Mytilus edulis: one gene and its partner. The main gene of each other region encodes a partner of the protein of the gene in region 2 in a complex. Links are inferred from orthologs where the notes say so. Each region holds a gene or a part of one and is shown on either strand. Other genes may lie near its edges.

Region 1 (12,991 bases), on a different chromosome or scaffold from region 2:
ATTTCAGAATGCAGACCTGGATTCTTTTTTATATAAATGTCTTTTGTTATGAAGTTTCCGTCTGTCATATGTCCATTGTCCTTGACCTCATTTTCATGGTTTAGTGACTACTTGAAAATAGAGTTAAAACTAAGTATTTTTCATTTCTCTCTTTTGAGTAATAGAATAACCATATTTGTTATGTACGTACCTTGCAAGTCCCAATGCCTATCTAACAGTTTTCACTTTACTACAACCTCATTTCATGGATCAGTGAACAAGGTAAAGTTTTTGCGGTCAACTTCATATCTCAAATATAAACAATAGGTCTACTATATATGGTGTTTGGGAATGATTGTAAGCTGTACATGTCCAATTGGCAGGTGTGACTGTCATCTGACTGTGACCTCATTTTCATGGTACAGTGGTTAAAAGTTAAGTTTTTGTGTTTTGGTCTATTTTTCTGATACTGTATGTAAATAGGTCAACTATTTTTGGTGTATGAAAATATTTGACCTTGACATTTCAATTTTTCAACTTTTTCTCTAGAAGATGACCATTTACTGGTCAAATTTTCAATACTGTAGTGGTGCACATGGGAAGTAAAGACCAGGTAATCTCAGGAAAGTGGAAAAGATTTACCACATACTAAAGTCCTTTTGCAAATTCTGTTGATAAATTTCGAAATATTTAAGAAACGAAGATTCCAACTTATTTAGGCAAAGTGCTTTAGGAGTGCCAGATTTATAGTCTTAAATTACCACATATATCAGTCAGTGTCAATCAGGTGTGATCCTATAGCAATACCAAACGAGAACTGACAAGATATTCTATGAGAGCTTAAAAGGGATATGAAATAAGGCATCACTGCTTAACTCCAGAGTAATCAAGTAAACAAGCAAGGCAGAAAACACAATAAAATATTTTTTGAGGGAAGGCTTTGAACAAATAAAAACCATCAAAAAAGAAAAGTAAAAAATTTATCAGCAATTCTTTGATAAAAACTGAAATTTATTCAATTGTTTTAATTGAATATATTAAATTTGGTTTTAACCTTAAACTCTACCGTTTTTATTGAGGTTTTATGTCCCATACAAACTTCATGCTATAATTTCTGTGTCATTCAGTCTCTTAAAGAATTGTCTCATTAGCAATCATACCACATTTTCTTAATTTTATATATATAGGCCACAAAATAAGTTAGCAGGATGAACAAATTGTTCACCAATACAATGAAAATACTACTAGAAACCTCAAGATTAATACTGTTGGAGGAAGAATATGAAAGTATGAATAACACCATTTTAAAATCATAACTATTTTAATCTTTTCTTGAATTTGGCAATTTTCATTGGTCTCAAATATGGATTGTCTATAGAATCTGTATCAACTCCTTGTGGATTATCTCCCACTATTTCAGACTGTTCTGGTGCTCTCTTGCGTTTTTTAACTGCTGTGGTCTCTGGTTGATCTTGAGAATCTAGATCTTGATCTTTTGGAAGCAATGCATTCAAATATGGCAAAGGCATAGGTTTAACTGCAATTACTGAAATAAAAACAGTTTGGAAATCTACAGATTTGATACTGTTCACAAAGTTAGCTGGAGTTGACATTTTTAGTTTGCTGATTTTACGAAAATCTTTAAACTACTATAAACCAACCAATTTTTGCAAGCAATTTATTTTTGGAGCGTAGAACACAAACACACATCATCACCAATTTTGTAAAACTTGGATCTTCCTCTTCTTCATGTACTTGTAATAAAGTCATCAATAAATAATGCCCCTAGTTTTGTAAAAAGTGCTTAACACAAAAAAGAAGAGTCCATTAAAAAATAAGATGCATTATAGTGACTTAAATACAGAATATTTACACAGTAGTAAAAAAAAAAAGCTGAATACCATTATATAAAATTAAGCAAATGCATTCTACAAAAGCAAAGATTTAAAATTGAAACAAAAGCAAATATTAGAAATTGAAGCAAGGTAACAAATATCTTGTTATAAAATCAATATATTATGCAGATTCACACAAAAAGCAACAAACTAGCATGTACTGAAACAACAAAAAATCCAATTTATGTTCATGTTCATGTCTACAAAGTGTACAGTATCGTGCATATTTGAGGAGGTGTGGTGTCAAATATTTGAACACCTGTAAAATAGCCTTAAATAATTTTCTTGACATTTTTAGTTTAAAGTTAAAAATCAATACAGCATCAAATCAAAACTTACAAGGATATGTAGTTGTATCATCTCTAAACAAGGACTGAGTTTCTCCTGTTTTAGCTATAAATCTTGTTAATGCTCTCTCAACATCACGTTTTTGAGAGGCTGCTTTCTCTCTGATCATTTGATATTCGCTCATTGGAGCTTTTTTTGTCTACAAAAGAATGGGATGAAATTACATGAAAACAAAATGCATAAGATTAACTGGTGATCTTTATTTTATTTATTTAAATTTTTTTTAAATTGCATTGGATTGCAGCTTCATGTATCTGAATCCCACATCTCTTCTAATTCATATTTTAACAAATTTCATTGTACAGTTTGGAGCTAAGTTTTTAATATTTGTTGAAATAAAATTGCATCAAAATACACTACCTACAAAAACATAAAGAATAATTCTATATCATTTTCCAATTGTATAACTTACAGAAGTTTTGATGTATGTATGAGGATCAGGAAATGGAGGTAGATGATCTGGTATGTGTGAAGGATGCTCTCTACGATCTCCTGTCTGTAACATCTTAATATTGGGTGGTGGAGCACTGTGTGCCGCTGGAAAAATAAAAGACAGAGTGTGTTATTAAATAAGTGTATCTAGTTCAAATTCACTGCTGGATACTGTAGTACTTCAATTAACATACTCTTAGGAAGAATGGTTGGTTATGGTAATTTTGCCCAAAGGTTTATTAAAAATATTCTTGTCATATACAGTGCTCTAGCTAGAAATCAAAAGGGGCAGGGTGCCAGTGGAGGGAAGGGCACTTTTTATGATAAGAAAAGGCACTGCTCATTTTTTTGTCTACGTTTCTGTGTGTATCACGAGTTAACGAATCTCTTTTTTTTTTTACTGTATATATGTTTTTTTTTTTAAATAAAGATGCTTTTCAACTATAGTCTTTATTTCATTGTTGTGTAGTTATGAATGATATAGTACATCTTCATCAACATATTATGTTTTTACAGTTTAACTTCACTCTACCCATTATCAAAATATATGTAGTTTTTAATTCTTAATATGATGTGAAGCTGAGCATTACTAATTTAACAATGTTTAGAACATGGATTGCTAAAAGTATAATTATCAAGTAGAAATTGCAATATATATTTTTAATATGTTCAAAGACAGTTAATATCTTTAAGGTAACATTATTATGTTATTATATATTCAATTGGTAATATATTCCTTTTTTTGATACTAGATAATATTTTTAGAGCACAAATTTGTAATAAGCTAAAACAGGGGAAGTAACTCCAAAATCAATTTCCACCACGTTTGGGTTAATTAAAAACTGTGCTTGTCGCTAACAAGTTGAGATGGAAGGCATTTCTGTAAAGGCATAGTTTTATTTTGATGACTTAAATTCAATTCTAAAGTCATGAAAGTCTTCATTTATACGCTCTTCCATTGTGACTTGGAGATCGAAAATGCTGACCCAAGCTAAACACACTCGCTTACACATTCATCAAAAGTATGACAAAAAGATACATTGTCCTAATTAAATTACCTAGTTATTAACACCTTTGAAGTCTTTATCATTGTAATTGATTGTAATGACATGATTAACCTGGGGGCAATCACACAGGTGTCATATATGTAATTAACTTGGAGATCAGTAATCGATGAAACAAAATTTTACCAAAACGGCACAAGATAATTTTGGAAAAAGACGTCAGGGCAGAAGGGCGCGGATGAAGGCACCCAGGGCGCGGCTGAGGGCACCCAGGGCGCGGCGCCCTTCTATTTTGGGCTAGCGAGACCACTGCATATACATGTACATATTTTAAAGTTTTAAGATCAATGCTAAAGAAAAATCCATGTCAATTTTACAACAATATTTAAAGTAAAAATAATGCCAATATCAACTCTGCAATTGACAACAATCAAGATTTTTAAGATACTGAAATTGACTATCCATAAAAAGTTTTTTCAATTTGAATACATTTTTCATAAATTTTCAGGTTGAATTATGCAAATAACAAACTTCCTCCATTTTAAATTGTAAAATTTGCTATATTTGAAAATATTATACCAAAAAGAGAGAATAGTGGGTAAGAAACTAGTACCAATTTTATTGAAATCAAACATTTAATTTGAAATTTCAAGGAACATTTAGAAAAATATTTGTAGCCTTGAGATTTTTTCACTAAGATATGGCATTTTTTGTGTAATTTATTACTCTTGTTTTATCAAACACTTGGACTATTTTGTGAAATAAACATGATATGCAATTGTGTAAAACATGTCTGTCTTGAAAAACTTACGTGGGAGAAATACTGTTTTATTTGGTCTTTTTGCATGCCCTGGTAATGCATGAATATTTTGACCTAAAAATGCAAACATAAATTTATACATGGATAAAAAATTTATATTTATCTCTTTTGTATGGGTATTTTTTCAACAAAATCCGCAGCATTTTTGTGCCTGTCCCAGGCAGGAGCCTCTGGCCTTTGTTAGTCTTGTATTATTTTTAATTTTAGTTTCTTGTGTACAATTTGGAGTTTAGTATGGCGTTCATTATCACTGTACTAGTATATATATTTGTTTAGGGGCCAGCTGAAGGACGCCTCCGGGCGCGGGAATTTCTCGCTGTATTGAAGACCTGTTGGTGACCTTCTGCTGTTGCCTTCTCTATGGTCGGGTTGTTGTCTCTTTGACACACTCTTTGCCCGATTTCCCCATTTCCATTCTCAATTTTAGATTTCATGTAGATATGACAAACCATGAAGGAGGACAGGATAATTTCTAAAAAGGGTAAACATTTCTGTGATGAAAGGGACATAGTCATGGATATTCTAAACATAATGAAAAATCCTTCAAATGGTGATGCTTGCATATCCTGATCAATTAATCTACAAAGTTTGAAATAAATCAAATAAAGAATAGTGAAGTTGGTATGGACAAACAGACAGCATGGTTCCTATATACATGTACCCCCAAACTTTGCAAGGGGTATAACAATTTTTTTTATACATAGATTAGACCATTGGTTTTCACGTTTGAATGGTTTTACATTAGTAATTTTTGGGGCGCTTTATACATTTGTAGCTTGCTGTTCAGTGTGAGACAAAGCTCTGTGTTGAAGGTCAGACTTTGACCTATAATGGTTTACTTTTATAAATTGTTACTTGGATGGAGAGTTGTCTCATTGGCACTCATGCCACATCTTCCTATATCTATATATGTATAACCATGTATCATACATAATATATAATACAAACCCATTTCAATCAAAGCCATTATAACATCTGTCATGATTCCTTCTGTTCTGCCAGCTAATTCTGCAAAGGCCTGTGTACTCCTGCCAAGCTCCATTAAAACTTTAAGTAAAAATAAAGGAGTTCCTAAAAATATCATGGTATTCTCTAATAGTATTTAAGTAATTTTATTTATGTTAGGTGTTAATAAAAATATTATCCAAATACAAATAATGTTCATAGGTAATACACCAATGGCCCAGGTAAGGTTCTTGACTGATCAGATTGACATTCACACTAAAAAGCACAGCACAAGATCTTGGATATACAACAAAGACTTTTAGTATTTAAAAGTATATATTTAACAGGGTAAAAAAAAAAGAAAAAAGTCATATTTAAAGATACGCCGGTTGAACTTTTGACATCCAACAACAATCATTTTTCCATTGTGGAGTCAAACATTTTCTATTGTGACGTCAAAATTTTACGGGAACCTTTGTGATGTCCAGTAATTACTGAGGGGTGGTAGGACTGGTCCTGATTCTGAAATTCCGGGCTTAAAAACATCAGATCCCGCAATCCCGGCTTAAAATCACTAAATCATGAGGTCCCGAAAATCGAAAAGAAGAATTCCCGGATCCCGAAATCCCGAGCTCAAAAACACCCAATCCCGGAGTCCCGATAAAGGTCCTATCCCCCCTCATTACTAATGTCTGACAAATTGTCATAATTTGACATAAGGTGTATTTACCAGTATCATGCTCCCTGCTGCTATTGTTCCTTCAAAGGCCTAAGGCTTTTGGAGTTGTTTCAGTTAGTTTCTATAAAGCATTGAAATGGCATACAGTTTTTACAACTTACAACTTTCCAGCATTTCAGTCAATGTTTCAATGACTGACTCTTCAGCTGTCTGGAACCCTACTTCTAAACACAGTGCACTAACTGCCACTTTTAATGCTTTCCGCGATGAAACAGCATGTTGGTCATTTTCGGATGCCATTTTTGCTGTGGTTAGTATGTAAATTACTCCATTATTTGATCGTTTTCAACAATAAATGGGCTTTTGTTGTCACTTTGACTTCCATGTTTGTTTCCTGAGGTAAAGTCTAGAGGTATTCAGGTCTCATTCCGAATGAAAACAGGTATTAACCGAAATTAGTTTGTTTAATGAATCGACTAGTCACGTACCAAATAAGAAAGTAGGTCCCTAAATGTTATCTAACCCAGCTATAAAAAAAAAACCCAAAAAAAACAGATACTGAAGGAACATACTCGTGATAAACTTTTAAAAAATTGTCACAAAAACAGACGAAAAAGTTAAAATCCTAATTAAAAAAAAAGGTATATTAATTATTATCAAACTCTCCGGCTAATAATGAATAAACAACACCAGCGGAATGAAAGTCATTAAATGTATCTAAAGAAAATTCGTAAATCTCATCAAGGATGATCTCATATATATAATAATCAAATGGAATAATAGTCACAACCTTACTCACCAAAAAAGAAACAAGTAAAAATGTGAACTACATTTAGAATAAGTGATCATTGGTTTTTAATCAGAAACTGGACGATATACAAAAATACCAAGACATGAAAGAAAATGTAAAATATGTCACATCTTAGTTGATGAATTCCACCTTTTCTTTAACTGTAAACTTAATTTAAATAATAGAAAAACCTTTAAAAATGTATTGAAAAATATGTAAATTGCAATACACTGCGGAGGAAATGAGACCAATAATTTCTGGGCCTTTTATAGCTGACTATGCGGTATGGGCTTTGTTTTTTTTATATTTAACATGTATATTATTATTGCTGAGTTTTTATTATGTTTGTTTTGTATCTGTATTGCTATTACCAAAATTGTTTTTGTTTGTTTGGGAATAAAGAATTTAAAGTCGGCATATATGTTCACCATAACAGAGAAAAATTTTCATACTATCATATAAAAATCACACTGCTCAGCCTCCATTCAGGTACTAAGAAATAAGATTTTTAAAAAAAGTAGCCTATGTGAATGTAATAAAATAATTTAAAAAAAAAAGTGATTTCTGGACGTCCAGGGTCACTTCATGATGGTGCTCATCACGGCTGCAAACACCTTCATATGCATTGCATGGGTGAGAACCAGCAATGACTAACAAACTAAAAAGCATAAACATATAAATTGGCTTTTTATAGCAGCTCAATGATCCGTATAAAATAATGTATAAAAAGCAGCTAGAGCAGAAAGCCGGAAATAAAAAGGAAGAAAATTAAGCTACGATGTAGAGCTGGATACTAGAGTAATGGACTTTTGATAATCATAAGAAGATGTGGTATGAGTTCAAAAGAGGCAACTCTCCATTCAAGTCATAATTTGTTAAAATTAAACACTTAAAGGTCAAAGAATGGCCTTCAACACAGAGACTTTGCTCATACCGAACAGCAAGCAATAAAGGACACCAAAATGACTATTGCAAAACAATTCAAACAGGAAAACCAATAGTCTAATCTGTATAAATAACGAGAAACGAGAAACACTTATGAACTACATTAACAAACGACCACCACTACAGGTTCCTGACTTATGACAGGTGCAAACAAATACAACAGGTTTAAACGTTTTAACTGGTGCCAACTTTCACCCTAATTAACCTGAAATAGTAGCAGAACATTACATTCAGATTCAATGTTTTATAAGAATCTCACCACTTAATTGTAATACATATAATCTCTTGTCTGGTATGTAAAATGTTGATATTAATTGATATGATAATATGATAGTTATATATATATAGGCTTCCCCTAGATAATACTTAAGCATATGACTTTACGTCCTTGACATTTATTCATGATCCATTTTTTTTTCTAATATATCATTTTTATTTGCATTTTTTTTATCCGATTTTGTACAAAAATACTTTTTGGTAAGAAAAATTCCTTTCAAACCCAACTTCTGCCAAACCAATCAATGCATAAGAACAATATGAATTTCATTAAAACGAATGTCCGAACTTAGAATGTGACCAAAACTACTGTGGCTGAACTGATTGGTGGCCGAAACGACATGTGGACGAACTAGAAGTGTGGCCGAAACATCTCGAAAGCGTCCGCCTAAAGTAACAAATATGTAGCCAACCAACAAACACTAAACATCTTGATAATGTCAGTTTTAGAGAATTTTTGCTTTATAATATATAGTCTGAGCGGTTTTTTTTACCAAATCATGAAATGTAAATATATATGTCAGTTATCTTCTTTATTATTAAGATAACTATAAATATTACAAAACAACATTTCAAAGTGTCACATGTAATATATATATAATAATATAATTGTAACCATATTTTTAAAAATTGTTTCTTATTTCTAACGCATTCGGTATTTAAAAGTTTAGAAACTAAAAAATATTCATTACACAAATCTTTTAAATCTAAACCATAAGATTGGAAAATAGTTTGCCTTATATCTTTATATTTATCACAAGATATCAAAAAATGTGCTTTAGTCTCTACTTTAGTGCAAAATTTGCAAAAACGCTGTTCTCTTGGAATTTGGGGTTTATTATATCTACCCCGTTCTATATTTAAACAATGAGCACTGATACGTAGTTGTATAATTTTACTAGTCTTTTCATATTTTTTGTAAGATTGGTTTAAAGATAGTAGGGAACAAAATTTGGAACAAAAATATTACTGAAAAGCACCAGTTTACTGTCCACAGCTCCAGATTTGATATTTTGTAGTTGTATGTCAGCTTGCTGCCTAAAGTATCTTATCACTATTTAAAATGTTGTTTTTTTTGTATCAAGTTTAGTTAAGTACTTTAAATATCATTTTAAGTTTTCATTAGATAATTCTTGATCTGCAGTAAATGCACTTTGTAATATTTTACCTCTATTTATTTTTAGTAATCTCATATACTTATTATACATTAAACATAATGAATCTGAAATCAACATTGGATTCCTGTTACATCAGAATGTCATTTGATTATATTGAAGCAAACAACCTATTATTATTTTAATACATAGATCTTATTAAATGAAACCTCCTTTTAATGTACATTTTATGCATATTAAAAAGCAAATTCAAATGAAACATAATTTTAAATATAAATAAAACTAAGTCACATACTTAAGTGAATATACTTGTATGGTAGAATAGTTTGCAATAAAAAGGTCCATGAAAATATGCCTTGCATGACATTTCTATTGTTTATTGTTTATTTATATGTGCTGTACATATGTTGGAAATTTTGTTTTATCATTTAAAAAAGCTCCTAATTAAAGGAGGCTTATACCAGGAAGAAGAAGATAGAAAATACATATTTTTTTCAAATTTAGTTGAAGTTCCATAAATACATGTCGCTCTTCTGCCCTGCCACAGACAGGACAGAACATTACAGAAAAAACTGAGAATTCGAAAACGTCCGGGATCGTCCGACATAAATTGTATATTACTCAGGACTGTGGGAAAGGTTTTAACACTTCTTTTTGATGGTGTTGCGGCGGTGACATTTTTGCCAGAGGTTATATTGCTGAAAACACGCTTGCCATCGAAATTTATACATTTAAGACAGCTGAATATGGAAAAGGTTACCTCTCAGGTTTGCAATTTAAATGAAACAATAAATATAAAGTTTCAAACTGGGACACGGAGCACCTCTCACCACTGTAATTGCGGGTATATCCTATAACCTTAGTTCTATTGACATTGCATAATGCAAACAATGTTTTACTAGCACATTAGAAATATCACACAATGATAACTGTTCATTGATTTGTCTCTCATTGATTGTTTAAAAGTAATTGATAGAAACATTGATTATTATTTGGAAATGTAACTTTGTTTGAGCTGCAATGGCCAATGTGCCTCATGTAAGACACAGGGCACACCCTCCTAAATTGGAGGATGGAGGATAGATATGCAAATGTACTAATAAAATAACTGATTCTTATTACCAAGGATCTTACTATACAAATCCTTGTTACAATAACCTAATTTATTTTTTACATTTTCCCACTCTTTACATTAAGTTTTTATAGGGTGTATATAGCCATTCAAATGCCTTGATCGTTCGAAATAAAAGGGGGGAACCACCCAGAACCCAACCCCATTTTTTTTTTAAATCCCCCTGAATCCATCACTACCAAATCATCATCATCCATGTCTCCAATGGCTGTTTCAAATTACCCATACTATGAAATTAGGAGGGAATTTGGCAGTGGAGATAGTTTTTTTACTTGTCAATCTGCAAGTAATTTTCTTTTCAAGATGCTTACAGAAATATTTGATATCAGATTGAGATTGTAATTAATCATTAATGAACAGTCTCTATAATGAGAGGTACATCTCTATTGACTCTAATGACTTTTAGGTCACCATGTCAAAGGTCAAGGTTATTGTTTAAAAATAGAAAAAAAAAATCCAGAATAAAAGGGGTACCACCATTTCCCCAAGAAATACAAGTACAACGTAATATCCCCAAAACAAACTGATATATCCCAATAACAAGATTTTCATGGTGTTATACTGTGTTAAATTAGTGTAACAGCATACAATTATAAGGATTAAGGCGTTCATAATTAATAAAAGTATGCACAATCTTCAGAAAAACGATTTGTATATCTTGTATGCAAACTCCTTGTTGAAAACAATATGGCAGAAGTTATAGTTTTTATACAAGGCATAGTAATAAAAGTGCAATTATGTACACTTCAAGAATTCGATGTGTATCATACACATCGAATTCTTGAAGTGTACATAATTGCACTTTTATTGAGAAAAACGAGAAATATCTTTAATTAATATTCTTTGATATTGTTAAAAGTAGTAAACAGTAACACCATTAAAAGTAGCATAACACCATAACAAATCTTTTTATCGGGATATATCAGTTTGTTTTGGGGATATTATAAAAGTTCTTGTATTTCTCGGGAAATCGTGGTACCGGAATAAAAGTTTCAATTTGAGGTCAAGGTTGTAGTTTTTCTTTCTTTATAAATAATGCAATCCTCCCATGGGAGTATTGTACTGTAGTTACCAAAAATAAACTGACATTTGTGAAAAAAAAGTGTTTTCCAGATCTGTGCTAATTATTTACAAAAATCAAATACTTCATATGGGATAGCAATCTTAACTTACATGTAGGCCTAAACAATTAAATTGTCTGGTTCAGGTAACATGTCCCAAAAATATTGTTTGGGTAGTTGGGTATTTTTTCTAATTTTTAAGAGTTCCCACGATGATAGTGCTCAGGATGACCTTCTGGAAATATTTATCACACACTTGTACACTGCTATAAAAAAAAAAAGGGTCACAATCAGGGTCTTTTGTTAGGTGGGGTAGGGTTACCTGAACCAAATTTTTTTTTTCTAGGCCTTAGTATATCATAATGTACAAATGTATGGTCATATATATTGAGACAAAAATCTATAATAATTTTTGACATCACAACATAAAAGGTCAAAGGCATACATGAAGGTACTAAAAATACACCAAAATTTGTTCAGAAAAGTGGTTTCCAAATATATTTGTTGTGCTTCAGTTGAGATTGCATTCTTGCCTACACACATTGTATAAAATATCTTGTAATTTCATCGTAATGTTACTAATATGGACTGTAATTCAATTGTGTGCTGAAAAGCAGTTACAGATAGATAAATACATTTTGTTGTCACTTTTTTTTTTTTTTTTTTTTTAGAGAAATGAAGATTTCTATCATTTTTATATGAATTTTAAAAAATTTACCACAGTTTATGCAGAAAATTGGTTCCAAGTTACACTAAAAAATATTATTATTATCATTTTTATATGAATTTTAAAAAATTTACCACAGTTTATGCAGAAAATTGGTTCCAAGTTACACTAAAAAATATTATTAATAAACTGATGGAATTTAAAACTTAATTCAATAATGAATATATGGTCACTCACATGTAACATGTACAGTATATAAAAATATAGGAAGTTTCCTTTTCTTTTTTCAGCTTTTTTAAAAAGTTCTGACATGTATGTCCATAGTTGATTAGTTTCAGTTAGGAATACACACTAAATGTTGATACATTTCAGCACAGTACTATATTCGTCTGTGAGAACTATATATCTTGTATGTAATTCCAAACTTCAATTTGGTTGAAAAATATTTCTCAATTGCATTATTTATTTCAGTTTTAAGGTTTAGACTAGAGTTATAAAGAGACAGCTGACATACAATGGAAAGGGCAGACCTTGTTTACAAGCTGGTTGACGAACTAGAACCTGTGGTAATAATATACTATAATTAATAGAAACAAACTTTGCTGCTGAATCCTGTTTAAAGCAACATTTCTTCATTTGCAATGATTTGCAAATATATTTGATATATTTGTTTCATATAAATTACAATAAATGAACACAAATGGTACATATAGAGAATTGTTCAAAAAGACATTTGCCACTCAGTCCACTCAGTCCATTCTTGGTATGTAATTCCTTCCTACCAACTCATACATATGTGAAATGTTTTGTCAATGTTTGTCTTTGAGTTTTAAATGGCTAAAGATATTGAAATCCACTTTTTTGGTTAATTATCATGATTCAAGACAAAAATTATATTTAATG
Region 2 (12,693 bases):
CTAATATTGCACTAGTGCAATAAATCTTCAAAATTCATGACGTCATCAACGTTTAAATCTTAGTTTAAACCAATTTTTACTTTTAAATATTATATTGCTATACAATAAAAGGGTTATTGCATGAATATTGGGGAATCTTGTCCCTCGTAGAACATATATTGCACTCGAAAGCTCGTGCAATATAAAATTCTACTCGGGACAATATTCCCCAATATTCATGCAATAACCCTATATTATTTAAATAAATATGGAAGAATTTCTTTGCTATGGGTTACTTTTCTCACTGCCCATCAGTAAAATCTTGACAAAAGATGTCATCCAAATATAAATAATGTTTAAAACAACCTCCAAACAAATTCCAAACATACTCATAACTTCTAACCAAAAAAGAGCTCATGACCTTAATATATGAAGCAATTTAAGAAACTGTTACCTCTGCAAAACACTCATTTCAAGGCTTCTGGTATTAAAATGGATATACTACCAACAGCAAATTATTTAATTTGACATATTACAATGCATTACGAAAGCCTGTATTTAAGTGGTTGCACAGTAAAAATAAGACATATTACAATTTAAAGAAATAATTTATTCTTGCCCGACTACAAGCATACTACAAAATACAAACCACAGATAATTCATGGGTAGATAACTCCTTGACTTTAACCAAATCAACAGCTTTATGTCGATGCCGAGACTTCTCTGGAACAACAGGCTTCTGTGGTTTGTTGTCAATAGCTGTCTTTACTTTGGTATCTAATATCTCTTTCTTCTGTTGATCCTTGCTGGCTTGAGGAGGATTTTCTGGTATTGTAGGCTGAATACCCTCAATACATAACCAATGAGCTAAAATATCAACAACATATCTATATTTAATTTTGTTTGATAAGTGTTATTTTATGATAAAAAATAATAAATACAAAAAGAGGTGAAAAATATATTTTTTAAAGTAATGTTGTTTAATTTCAAATAACCTTTTTTCTGCTTAATTAAACATGTTAAAGCAGATGATTAATGCTGCCAGTATGTTTTTCTCAATCTTACTTATCTTGTAAATGAATCATACTAAAACAGCTGATAGAAAAACATTAAATGACAATAAATTTAAATTGCCAAATTCCTATCTACTAATACATTTTTTGTATATATGATATCACCAATTAATTTTGAATGCACAATGCAGAAAGCAAACTGTCACTCTTTGGTATGCTTTCTGTTGCAAATTCTAATTAAAATTAATTTTCATCTGTATCATATGAGAAGTTATTTTTAATGCTATAGTGGATTTCAAGATATCAATATACATAGATTAAGGAAAATATGTCAATACATAAATATTGGATTTCTCTGTATTTCATTTTGAACCAAAGACAGCATTTGTTGAATATTAAAAATTTGTGATTCGTCTTTACCCCCAAAAATGCACATCTAGAAATAATAATAAATTTGCAGTTTGATAAATAATTGCACCTTTCAAAGCCACATCTAGAGGGACTTTAGGCAGTGTAGTGTTGATGATATCTGATAACTCCAACTCTTTCTCCTCAGTAAAATGTAGCTCTCTTCCACCCCCACTAGCAAAACGGAATGGTACAAATTCTTTACTGTGAAATCCATAAAGAGGCTGTAAAATATTGAAAATTTGATGAAATTGTATAATTTACCAAATGGAAAGCTACTTCTGACATTTCTTAGATTATTTATTCATAAAAAAACATGATAAATACATCTATATACATTCTATTAGATTTATTAAATTTTCATAGATTTCTAATAATTTTTTGATTCATTCACTCTCTTTTGAAATGTTTGGTGCACATTTTATACAAATATAAAAACAGACACAAAATTTCATGTTTTGCATAATCATGGTAAACCTTTCTCGTCACCACATTGTACTAAACAAAAGATATTTTATTTCCTCTTCTCATGAAAAGACAAATGTAGATAGTCTCTATCTGGTTGAAATCATGAGATATTACAACTTTTGTTGCCTACTCTTTTATCTAATGGCATGTACTCTCTTCAAAAAACCATTTTGTAATGATCAATTTATAAGAAATAAATTGTATGTAACATGATCAGTCTCTTTGATCTGCAACTTATACTAGTACTGCATACATGTATTATACATTTATCTATGTCTAAGGATAAGTATACCTCCACATTCTTTAACCTCAATGCCTGATCAAAATCAGAGGTTGACAGCTTCTGTCCTTTCCTATGTCCAGAAAATTTGATTGCTTCCTATAATGTACAATTCACAGGTAAATTTGAAAAAGCTGCACATGTATAAATGAACATGAGGTTCCACTACATAAATAAACTATTTCTTTAGTTTATATTTGTGTCTGACTTAGTATCATGTTTTTTGACAAATTACTGAACTGAAAATAAGTTTCTTGTTTGTAGTAACAAACTATAAATCCTTGGTCTTAAATATAGTAAGTAGTATAGACAACAAAAACGAAAAATTATGCAATTTTTAAAATGTTTATAAAGGGGCAAAACTCATGAAGGCAAAAGTGACCCTTCCTTAATTTGAACTTGATCCATATTATGTTGTTATTATTATTGTATGTAAGTTTCATAATATTTGGTTGAGGAAAACTAATGTAAGAGAAAGGAAACCAACTTTGGGAGGTACAGATGGATAAGGGTAAAATTTAAGCAAAAAAAATATAAAGAAGGCAGAAAACATAAAACTGGATTTCACCATCCCCTCTACATCTATGAGTAGGGTATCTTATTACTTGCACACCTGTACTAATTGCTTAACTCTGTATGTACAGTCTGCTGCTAGATACTGTGCTGCATCATCTGGCAATCCCACAATCCCAACTTGCTCAGAGACGACCTTGACAGACTCTGAAGTAAGATGGCTGCTGATCTTATGGTCCTTGTGTTCTTTATCAGCCATGATAAGTTACATTTTCATGTCTTTTGGCAATATTTATCCTACAATGTATAATTGATTCATTTAGTCAAATATTATTAATACATTATTACATATTGATTTGTAAACTACAAAGTACATTATCATTGTGCCAATTAAAAATATATGTGTGGTTTTAGTTACCCTACCTACGCTACTTTTCAGTCTTCATAATAGCAAATTCTTAAGATATTATTTATGGCATTTTTCATTAAGCAGTTACAAAAATTGCAGCAAAAAATTAAACATTTGTTTTTTCATTACAAATTTTATTTATTGCACTATTAGTTATTACTTTATGTTATGGTACAAAATAAAACCCAAAAAGTTGATTTGGTTTGGCCCCAGATGACTTTTAAAATGTTAATATCAGTGAAAAAGCTCTGAATTATGTCCCTTTGGTGCAAAAATGCCATTTTTTGGCATTAAAATTGAAATATCTTTTTTAACTCATCAGTGACCTATATATTTTTTTTATTGTTTTCAAATAAGCTATACATAAACTAAATAATTGTAAAATTTAAGCGATTTCTGCAATTTAGTTCTTTTTTTATTGCAATAATACCTCTATATCTCCTATTAATTCAACAGAAAAATAGGACTTGAACAAATTTGTATGCTTCTTTTGGAGGCAGATTGTGAGCTTAAATGAATGGTGACCCCATTTTTTATTTCAATTTTCTATTAGGTATATGATAAAGTTCATTTATAGAAAAATATAGCGAAATCTTATATTAGAAAAAAAAATGATTTATACCTGAGAGCCTCCTTAACAATGGTTAAAGACATTATGTTGCTCACATAAACATGATAGACTTGAGCAGTGTAAAAAAAAAAAAAAAGAAAGAAAGAAAGAAAAATCCCTACCTACATGTACCTTCCCTTACTTTTTTTAAGATATATACATGTACTGGTAACTGGACCAAACATATTATTTTATTTGGTCTTATATCTTAAAACGAATCATGTGTGACTTATGGCATTATTAGTAAAAAAATGTATTTTGCAAAATTGGCATATCCCTGTTTGATTTTAGACAATAGTGTTTTTTTACTGAGTTTACTAATACTATTAAAGTAAATTTAATAATCAACTCCCTATACATCAGTTCAACAAAATTTTACTTTTCTGGTTTCTTGATCAACACCATGATCATTAGCAGGAAGCTAAGTCAGTAAGTGGTCATCAAAGCTTGTTATGGTATATGTAACCGAATAAGATGCTCCAAATTCCAATATACATTGTATAAAACTGAGAATGGAAATGGGGAATGTGCCAAAGAGACAACAACCCGACCATAGAAAAAAACAAAAAAAACAACAGCAGTTGTACATGTACATGTATATCTTAAAATCTATTTTGGATAAAATTAAAAAATGCATTATACCTCAACTGTTTAGATATGTATTTTAGTAGTGCTTTGGCACTCACACCACATCTTCCTATATCTTTGCTAGTATTTCAATATGCCTGTCAGGCTGTGTAACATTGTTATATATCTTGTCTGCATGTTTGTGTTTTAATGATTTTATATTCGGTAAAAAACTCTTTCAAAAATACATGTATTGCTATATGTGAACCGAATCAAAATAAAACTTTCGTATTCGTATTGGTGTATCCCATTGTACATGTACGTCAAATAGTGGATTATACTTAAATTGAGGTATAAGCCACTAATTTATCACTCATACATGTCATATAAATTAATAGTTATTCTTGACCTGTACAAGTTCAGATACATTGTAATCATGCAGTATGATGTGGATACCTTTCCATCATGTTCATATTGACTATTTTTAAAGGGGTCAAAGCAGAAGATTAAAATAGCCTTCCGAGACGTCATAATTATTTGGACAAAAATAATTAGAACATTATGTACATGTATACATAAAATGTATAAACCTGGGAGTTTACAATTACAGATTTAATCACTAATCAGATTGCTTTTAGTTTTTCAATAAATCAATCCTTGAAAAATAAAATTATGTTGAAAAATAGTCCGAGATTACTCTGACGTCCAACGGCTGTTTTGCCAGACAAGCTGGGGCCGTGGGACGTCAGAGCTCGTCCCATATCAAAAAGTGGATATTTGCCCACCCAAAATAGATGCGCTGCTTCGTCGCTTCTGATGCCGACTGATGGCCTTGGAATTATATAAATCGGGCGTCAATCTCTTCATTTATGTAAGTTTCACCTACCTGCGAACCTTTATTTTTCCATATTTTAACAGTTTTCACAGTGACCCATCGATTTCGGCATTTTGACTTTTACTTTCAAATGGGTGCAATCAACAGTTTTTTTTTCTATGACGTCACATTTTGAGGGACCATGCATAAGTGACCCTTAGTGGTGGACTGATTAATAAAGATACTTGTATAAAACTAGATATCACTGGAATCAGAATGTTCACTAGTTTATAATGAAATAAAAATAATGTGTACTTTTAATATATAAAAAATATTCCATCCAATGAACATGGGGGAAAAAAGGTCTAATTTGAACAACAAAAACTTGAAACCAGGTCATGTGCACACCCATGAAGACATGATCCATGCACATTTTACATAATCAAAACTGTATGAAATTTGTAGGTTTTTACCTGGCCTTTCAAAAAAATCTTGTTTCAGGGTACGGTTTCCTGCTCCAAAAAGAGCTACAGTGGCTGCAAATAAGTTTTCAATTTTCACTGCCAAAAAAACAGGTTGTTTACAGTGTTGTCTCCCCTCAAAACATGTAAAGTTAATATAATTTCAAAAATTATTTCAATCATTCAACCTGTTTTAATTCAAAGCTAATTAACTAATTTTTACAATCAAATACAAAAAACATGATACTTTTTCACCAATTGAGTAAATAAACAGGGGTTTCCCTCCATGGTTATTTTTAGTCGGGGAATAACCCCTAGTTTTTTATACGAAACTGTTTATAGCACCCAATGGCAAGAGAGTTTGTGGTCTTGAGACTCAAAATATGCAAATATTTATATTTTTTCACCTCCTTTACAGGAGATCGGTATGAAGCATTTACATGTTTATGTAGTTCTGACCACGTTACAATCTGAAGCTCTCGGACATTTAGATAACTTGCATTGTAAATGAACGAGGTGTTACAGTATGGTCATTTGCATAAATCATCACTGTTTTCTCGTGGTCACGTGATTATCTTCGAAAATGAAAGGCAAAATGCTGAAATCGATGGGTCACTGTGAAAACTGTTAAAATATGGAAAAATCAAGGTTGGCAGGTAGGTGAAACTTACATAAATGAAGAGATAAATGAAAAATGAACAGATTGACGCCCGATTTATATAATTCCAAGGCTGTCAGTCGGCATCAGAAGCGACGAAGCAGCGCATCTTTTTTGGGTGGGCAAATATCCACTTTTTGATATGGGACGAGCTCTGACATCCCACGGCCCCTGCTTGTCTGGCAAAACAGCCGTTGGACATCAGAGTAATCTCGGACTAGTTGAAAAAATAATCAACCCGGTTTTTAAATTATGCCTATCAAGTTTAAGACTGCAATTAAATTTCTGTTCAAAAAGTGCCAAAAGGGGAGGTAATTACTCTACTCTAGTGTTTATGCAAGCAAATGAGTTATGGCTATGAAGGAAAAACTGTACCTGCTGTCCACATGCCTGTCCTTGAAAGCATTCAACAAAGTGTCAAAATCAATGCAACATTTAAATTATTTGCACGAAACACAGCCCCAGAAGGAAATAATTCAAAACAGGTAGCTGAATCTTTTTCGGCTCGAAACAACCGGAAGCAGAGTTATTAAACTAATATATAAACAAGTTCGGAATGAGGAATTTGTTCCGGATTCCTGAATATTTTTTTTTTTTTTTTGCTTTTTAAATGTTTTAAAACTATTATGTGAGAGCAATATTAGTAGGAAATAAAAGGTTTAAATAGTTAAGATTAACAACACAGTCACATAAAATCGCCAGATGAACGAAACTATGGTTATTAACTTTAAACATTTTGAAATCATGTATTATAACATTATAAGCAACACGACGGGTGCCGAGTTTCACTTGTTGTCGAGTATCGAGTTGCGAGTTAGGAAAATCGAGTTGCGAGTTAAGAAAATCGAGTTGCAAGTTAAGAAAGTCGAGTTGCGAGTTACAAAAGTCGAGTTGCGAGTTAAGAAAGTCGAGTTGCGAGTTACGAAAGTCGAGTTGCGAGTTACAAAATTCGAGTTGCGAGTTACAAAAGTCGAGTTGCGAGTTACAAAAGTCGAGTTGCGAGTAACGAAAGTCGAGTTGCGAGTTACAAAAGTCGAGTTGCGAGTTAAGAAAGTCGAGTTGCGAGTTACGAAAGTCGAGTTGCGAGTTACAAAATTCGAGTTGCGAGTTACAAAAGTCGAGTTGCGAGTTACAAAAGTCGAATTGCGAGTTACGAAAGTCGAGTTGCGAGTTACAAAAGTTGAGTTGCGAGTTAAGAAAATCGAGTTGCGAGTTAAGAAAGTCGAGTTGCGAGTTACAAAAGTCGAATTGCGTAAAAATGTGGAAACTAAAATATTTCAATTTTTTGGGGTAACTGATAACATTTCGGAATGATGATTTCTTATAGAATTGTATATAGTGTTGTTGATTATTTTTGTGGTTTGGACTCTATCTGAGTCTCTTGTAAAAATAAAATGGACTAGATAATCACTACGTTTAGTATTTTCTGAAGAAGCAGATAGCCTTTTGAAATACAGCAGATGGCTTGCATTTTAATTATTTTTAAATTTCATACATAGCACCGTCGTATTAAACGTAAAGGGACATAGCAACTAAACTATATTTCATATATGTAAAACACCCCTTCTGCAGATTTCGTATAAAGTGGGCTTTTGGGGGCAGCTGCGGAGCCGGGCAATATTCGTTAGGGACCGCAAAATTTATTGTTTGTCAGTGACACTCAAAATTGAGGATGTTAAAATTATATATGTCTTATGCATTGGCTAGAAATAAAGGGGATATGATGGGCGTGAATAAAACCAGTTTAAACACGCCGCTTTTTTGTGTCTGACCAATTTCAGGAACCTTTAGCCTTTGTTGCTCTTGTATACATTTTAATTTTGGTTCATCTTTATATTTAGCAGCATAGAATGGCGTCTACATTCTTTATTTATCTATATTGTGTTTCGGGCCTGCTCAGGGCTCCCTCTAGATGTGTGATTTTTCGCTGTGTTAATTTGTAGACCTAATGACCTTTGGTTGAATTGTATATTTTGATTTGGTTGCTGTCTTTTTGACTCATTCCCCATTTTTATTCTTTATTTTATAAATGTAGCTGTCAAAGATACTATTGTAAAAACTATATTTGCGCCATTTACAGGTAAGATTTAATTGGAAAGTATAAAATGATTATTACTACATCATGATTTCATACGTATTTTTTTAAAGTCAGTGGCAGATCCAGAAATTTTCATAAGTGGGGGCCCACTGACTGACCTAAGAGGGGGCCCGCTCCAGTGACGCTTCAGTGATTCCCTATATAAGAAAACACTTTTTTTCCCCAAAAAGGGGGCCCCTGGCCCCGCCCCCTCCTAAATCCGCCTCTGAAAGTATTGGGTAACTTATTAAACTGAGTCACTTAGGTTTAAACTTGAGTTATATAGACGTGTTCACATGTTTGATATTGTCAATTATAAGTTATTTTAAACTTAATTAAATTAAACATCAACCCAACAATGTTAGATCTGTAAATTTGCTTTCGCAAATTTTTGGTTCTTCCCTCGCCGGGATTCGAACCCATGCTACTGTGATATCGTGACACCAAATCGCCTGCACTATATATATATATATGTTATAGAGTAAAATTACTTGGATTGTAAGATGATGAAGTTCGCAATTTGAATATTGCTTATAGTGATTTTTTGTATAGCTCTCCCTTTCCATTCTTAAAAAGTCAATATACATTTTAAACCTAGATACTTATAATTGTAAACACATTCTATTATATCTTTTTCGCAATACAAATATTCTTTTAAAATTTTTCCAGGTTTGTTAAACATATTAACTTTGGTTTTAGATAGAGTGACCTCTAAACACTCGTGTTTGAAAGACTTGCCTTGGAACTAGACAAAAAATAACAAGATGAGGCACTCAATTTTGCGGTCATTTATATCAACAGCATCTAGGGTTTCATTTAATGCATCCGGTTAAATTCTTTTATAAAAATCTTAAAAAGGTTGGGATTCAAAATATCCCCTTCGTTTACTTCAATTTGGGAATACAAATTAGAAGTAAGCACATTATCTATTTTCGCACATAATTCACTTTTATTATACATATCTGTCACGATTGCATGGAAATTACTACCTATGTTTGGCGGCAAAAACACACGTTTTTCAAAACGATGGATGTAATAATGAAAACGGAAAATATCGATCTTCAATCGGATTTAAAAAGTCTATATATATATATATATCGATGTACATGTAGTTTTAAAAAGATTAATCTTATTTGAATCGATCTTTTTTCAAGGTTTAAATGTTTAGATCGATCGCTTTTGTCAGGTGAATGTTAATATATATTCAGATATGAAAATAAATCTGCGCATGTTCGGCGTGTTTAAAAATGATGGATGGAATACGAAAAGTAAACATAGATTCGGCTATTTTTTTATTATCTTCTAAATCAATAAGTTCTATTTGTTTGCTGCAAATCCTCATCTTCAAACGCATTGGCCGTGATATAGCCTTTTTGTGCTAATGCGGCGTAAAGCAACCAACAATCAATCGCATTGGCCGTTCGTTATTTAGCGATAGATATATAGTTTACACACATATCTTTGTTTAATGACTTGTGATGTACGATCCAAAATAATGATTAATAAGTCCATACGAAATTCCAATGAGCAAACTATTTTCTCAATGATTTTGCAATGTGTTATAGTTTGCGCGAGATGCAGAATTTCCTTTACTATTCTATTTTTAGGATTATTTGTTTACGAAAGGTAATTTATGGTCAGATCGGTTCTTTTTTTTTGTTGTAGTGTAAACGCATTGAATTAAATAAGATCGATCTTGTCCATTTTAAGGATACATTATTTTTTTTAAATGCTTCCAGAACTTAACTTATATTAGACTCTAATAAATAAGTATCACATAAACTGTTTCAAATCCCACAATCACGGGAATAACTAAGTTCAGGTGCATGCATGTTTTGTTTATCAAATGTGAATCAAACCTGAAAATTCGGTGTAAACAATGTTTTTTTAACTCGCAACTCGACTTTCTTAACTCGCAACTCGACTTTTGTAACTCGCATCTCGACTTTTGTAACTCGCAACTCGACTTTCTTAACTCGCAACTCGACTTTCTTAACTCGCAACTCGACTTTTGTAACTCGCAACTCGACTTTCCTAACTCGCAACTCGACTTTTGTAACTCGCAACTCGACTTTTGTAACTCGCAACTCGACTTTCGTAACTCTCAACTCGACTTTCCTAACTCGCAACTCGACTTTCGTAACTCGCAACTCGACTTTTGTAACTCGCAACTCGACTTTTGTAACTCGCAACTCGACTTTTGTAACTCGCAACTCGACTTTCGTAACTCGCAACTCGACTTTCGTAACTCGCAACTCGACTTTCGTAACTCGCAACTCGACTTTTGTAACTCGAAACTCGACTTGCTTAACTCGCAACTCGACTTTCTTAACTCGCAACTTGCAACTCGACGATAAGAAACCCTCACGGGTGCCACATGTGGAGCAGGATCTGCTTACCCTTCCGAAGCACCTGAGATCACCCCTAGTTTTTGGTGGGGTTCGTGTTGTTTATTCTTTAGTTTTCTATGTTGTGTCATGTGTACTATTGTTTTTCTGTTTGTCTTTTTCATTTTTAGCCATGGCGTTGTCAGTTTGTTTTAGATTTATGAGTTTGACTGTCCCTTTGGTATCTTTCGTCCCTCTTTTATAAAAAAAAAAGACCTTCAGGCTACTTTTTTTTCTGGTATGAAGTTACAACTTCATAACGTTGAAGATACCGTTCTGTTTCCATACGAGGAGAATGTAAACATAACATATCACAGAAAAGTGCAACTTTCAAGTCCTTTCAATAATAATTCAAATTTTGCAAATTTTCATGTCACATGCAGTTTTGTGTCTTTAGAATGTTTAGCGACAAACTCGAGAAAATGTGAAAGTGATTAAAACCATGTACATTGATATCTATACTGTTAGATGGTGTTGCAGGGAACAGTTAGTTTGGGTGTCAACTGTCCTCTGAAAGATCTAAATATTGAAGACAATATAACAACTCGTGGCAGCATGTTCCACTTTACCAATTTAAATGACCACTATTGAGGGGGGATAAGAGGGGTCCTGATCACGAAATCCGGGGCTTAAAAACAGCCAATCCCGAGGTCCCGAATTTAAATTAGTTAAATCCCGACATCTCGAAATTCGAAAAAGGGAATTCCCGGATCTCGAAAGGGTCAATCCCGAAATCCGAGCTTAAAAACACCCGATCCCGAAGTCCCGTTAAAGGTCATATCCCCTCTCACTATTGAATTACTTTTTCAAAAGAGATCGGTGCTCAGCTGCCGCTAGGCACTTTAGACATAAGTTTTTCACAAATATTTTTTGCTATTTTTAAACATCATTTACAAAGTTATCTGGACATGCACGTAAAGGCGCCGGTCAAAACTCTTTAGTTATCAAATGCCATTTGTACACTTGTATATCCTTCTTAGTGAATGGAGAATATAATTGTATACAACATTATATTCCACCTTATACTAGTATAGAAACTGGATTTTTGGTTCAATCTGTTAACTTCTATCAACAAATACTTGAATGAACCTCAACATGCTCAAAACTCTGACTTTGATTCTGAGATACATGATTTTTATTTATTAGTTGTTGTTGGCCTTCAACAAGCTTGGTCTTCAACCGAACTACAACAAAACCCTTGTCAAAGTGCGCCGTCCTATTGACTGTACTGGATGTATAAATACACAACCACGTCACGTCTGGTCTGGTCTGGTTTTAGACGAGTCGACGCTCTGCAAGTGTTGGCCATGCAAGTTAGTCTTGTATGATTTTTAATTTTAGTTTCTTGTGTATAATTCGGAGTTTAGTATGACCTCAATGATCACTGAACTAGTATAATATATTTCTTTGGGGGCCAGCTGAAGGACGCATTCGGGTGCGGGAGATTCTCGCTGCATTGAAGACACATTGGTGGCCTTCGGCTGTTGTCTGCTCTATGGTCGGGTTGTTGTCTCTTTGACACATTCCCCACTTCCATTCTTAATTTGATTAATATAAAAAAAAGAAGATGTGGTATGATTGCCAATGAGACAACTATCCACAAAAGACCAAAATGACAAACACTAACAACTAAAGATCACCATACGGCCTTCAACAATGAGCAAAGCCCATACCGCATAGTCAGCTATAAAAGACCCCGATAAGACAATGTAAAACAATTCAAACGAGAAAACTAACGGCCTTATTTATATAAAAAAATGAACGAAAAACAATATGTAACACATAAACAAACGACAACCACTCAATTACAGGCTCCTGACTTGGGACAGACACATACATAAATAATGTGGCGGGTTAAACATGTTAGCGGGATCCCAACCCCCCACCCCCTAACCTGGGACAGTGGTATAACAGTACAACATAAGAACGAACTATAAAAATCAGTTGAAAAAGGCTTAACTCATCAGATTGACAAAAATACAAGTGAACGTGGCCGGGTACTTATACATCCCGACACAAAAAGACACAATGAACAGATCTGAGAGTACT

Evidence for each region.
Region 1: transcription initiation factor TFIID subunit 6-like (region 2) and transcription initiation factor TFIID subunit 8-like share a complex: the UniProt entries of both Homo sapiens proteins name them as parts of the TFIID basal transcription factor complex. The link is inferred for Mytilus edulis from reciprocal best matches to the Homo sapiens genes TAF6 and TAF8.

What each region holds. Positions count from the first base shown.
Region 1 is NC_092350.1:20,032,302-20,045,292, forward strand, and holds transcription initiation factor TFIID subunit 8-like, read right to left. Parts: upstream 6,518-12,991; 5' UTR 6,403-6,517; coding exon 6,264-6,402; intron 5,526-6,263; coding exon 5,427-5,525; intron 4,533-5,426; coding exon 4,470-4,532; intron 2,760-4,469; coding exon 2,635-2,759; intron 2,362-2,634; coding exon 2,214-2,361; intron 1,526-2,213; coding exon 1,296-1,525; 3' UTR 1,282-1,295; downstream 1-1,281. Other genes in the region: zinc finger protein 43-like, read left to right, coding at 12,604-12,654. UniProt on the Homo sapiens protein: The TFIID basal transcription factor complex plays a major role in the initiation of RNA polymerase II (Pol II)-dependent transcription.
Region 2 is NC_092352.1:41,337,472-41,350,164, reverse strand, and holds the start of transcription initiation factor TFIID subunit 6-like, read right to left. Parts: upstream 6,717-12,693; 5' UTR 6,556-6,716; intron 2,959-6,555; 5' UTR 2,921-2,958; coding exon 2,762-2,920; intron 2,248-2,761; coding exon 2,161-2,247; intron 1,625-2,160; coding exon 1,471-1,624; intron 847-1,470; coding exon 629-846; intron 1-628. UniProt on the Homo sapiens protein: The TFIID basal transcription factor complex plays a major role in the initiation of RNA polymerase II (Pol II)-dependent transcription.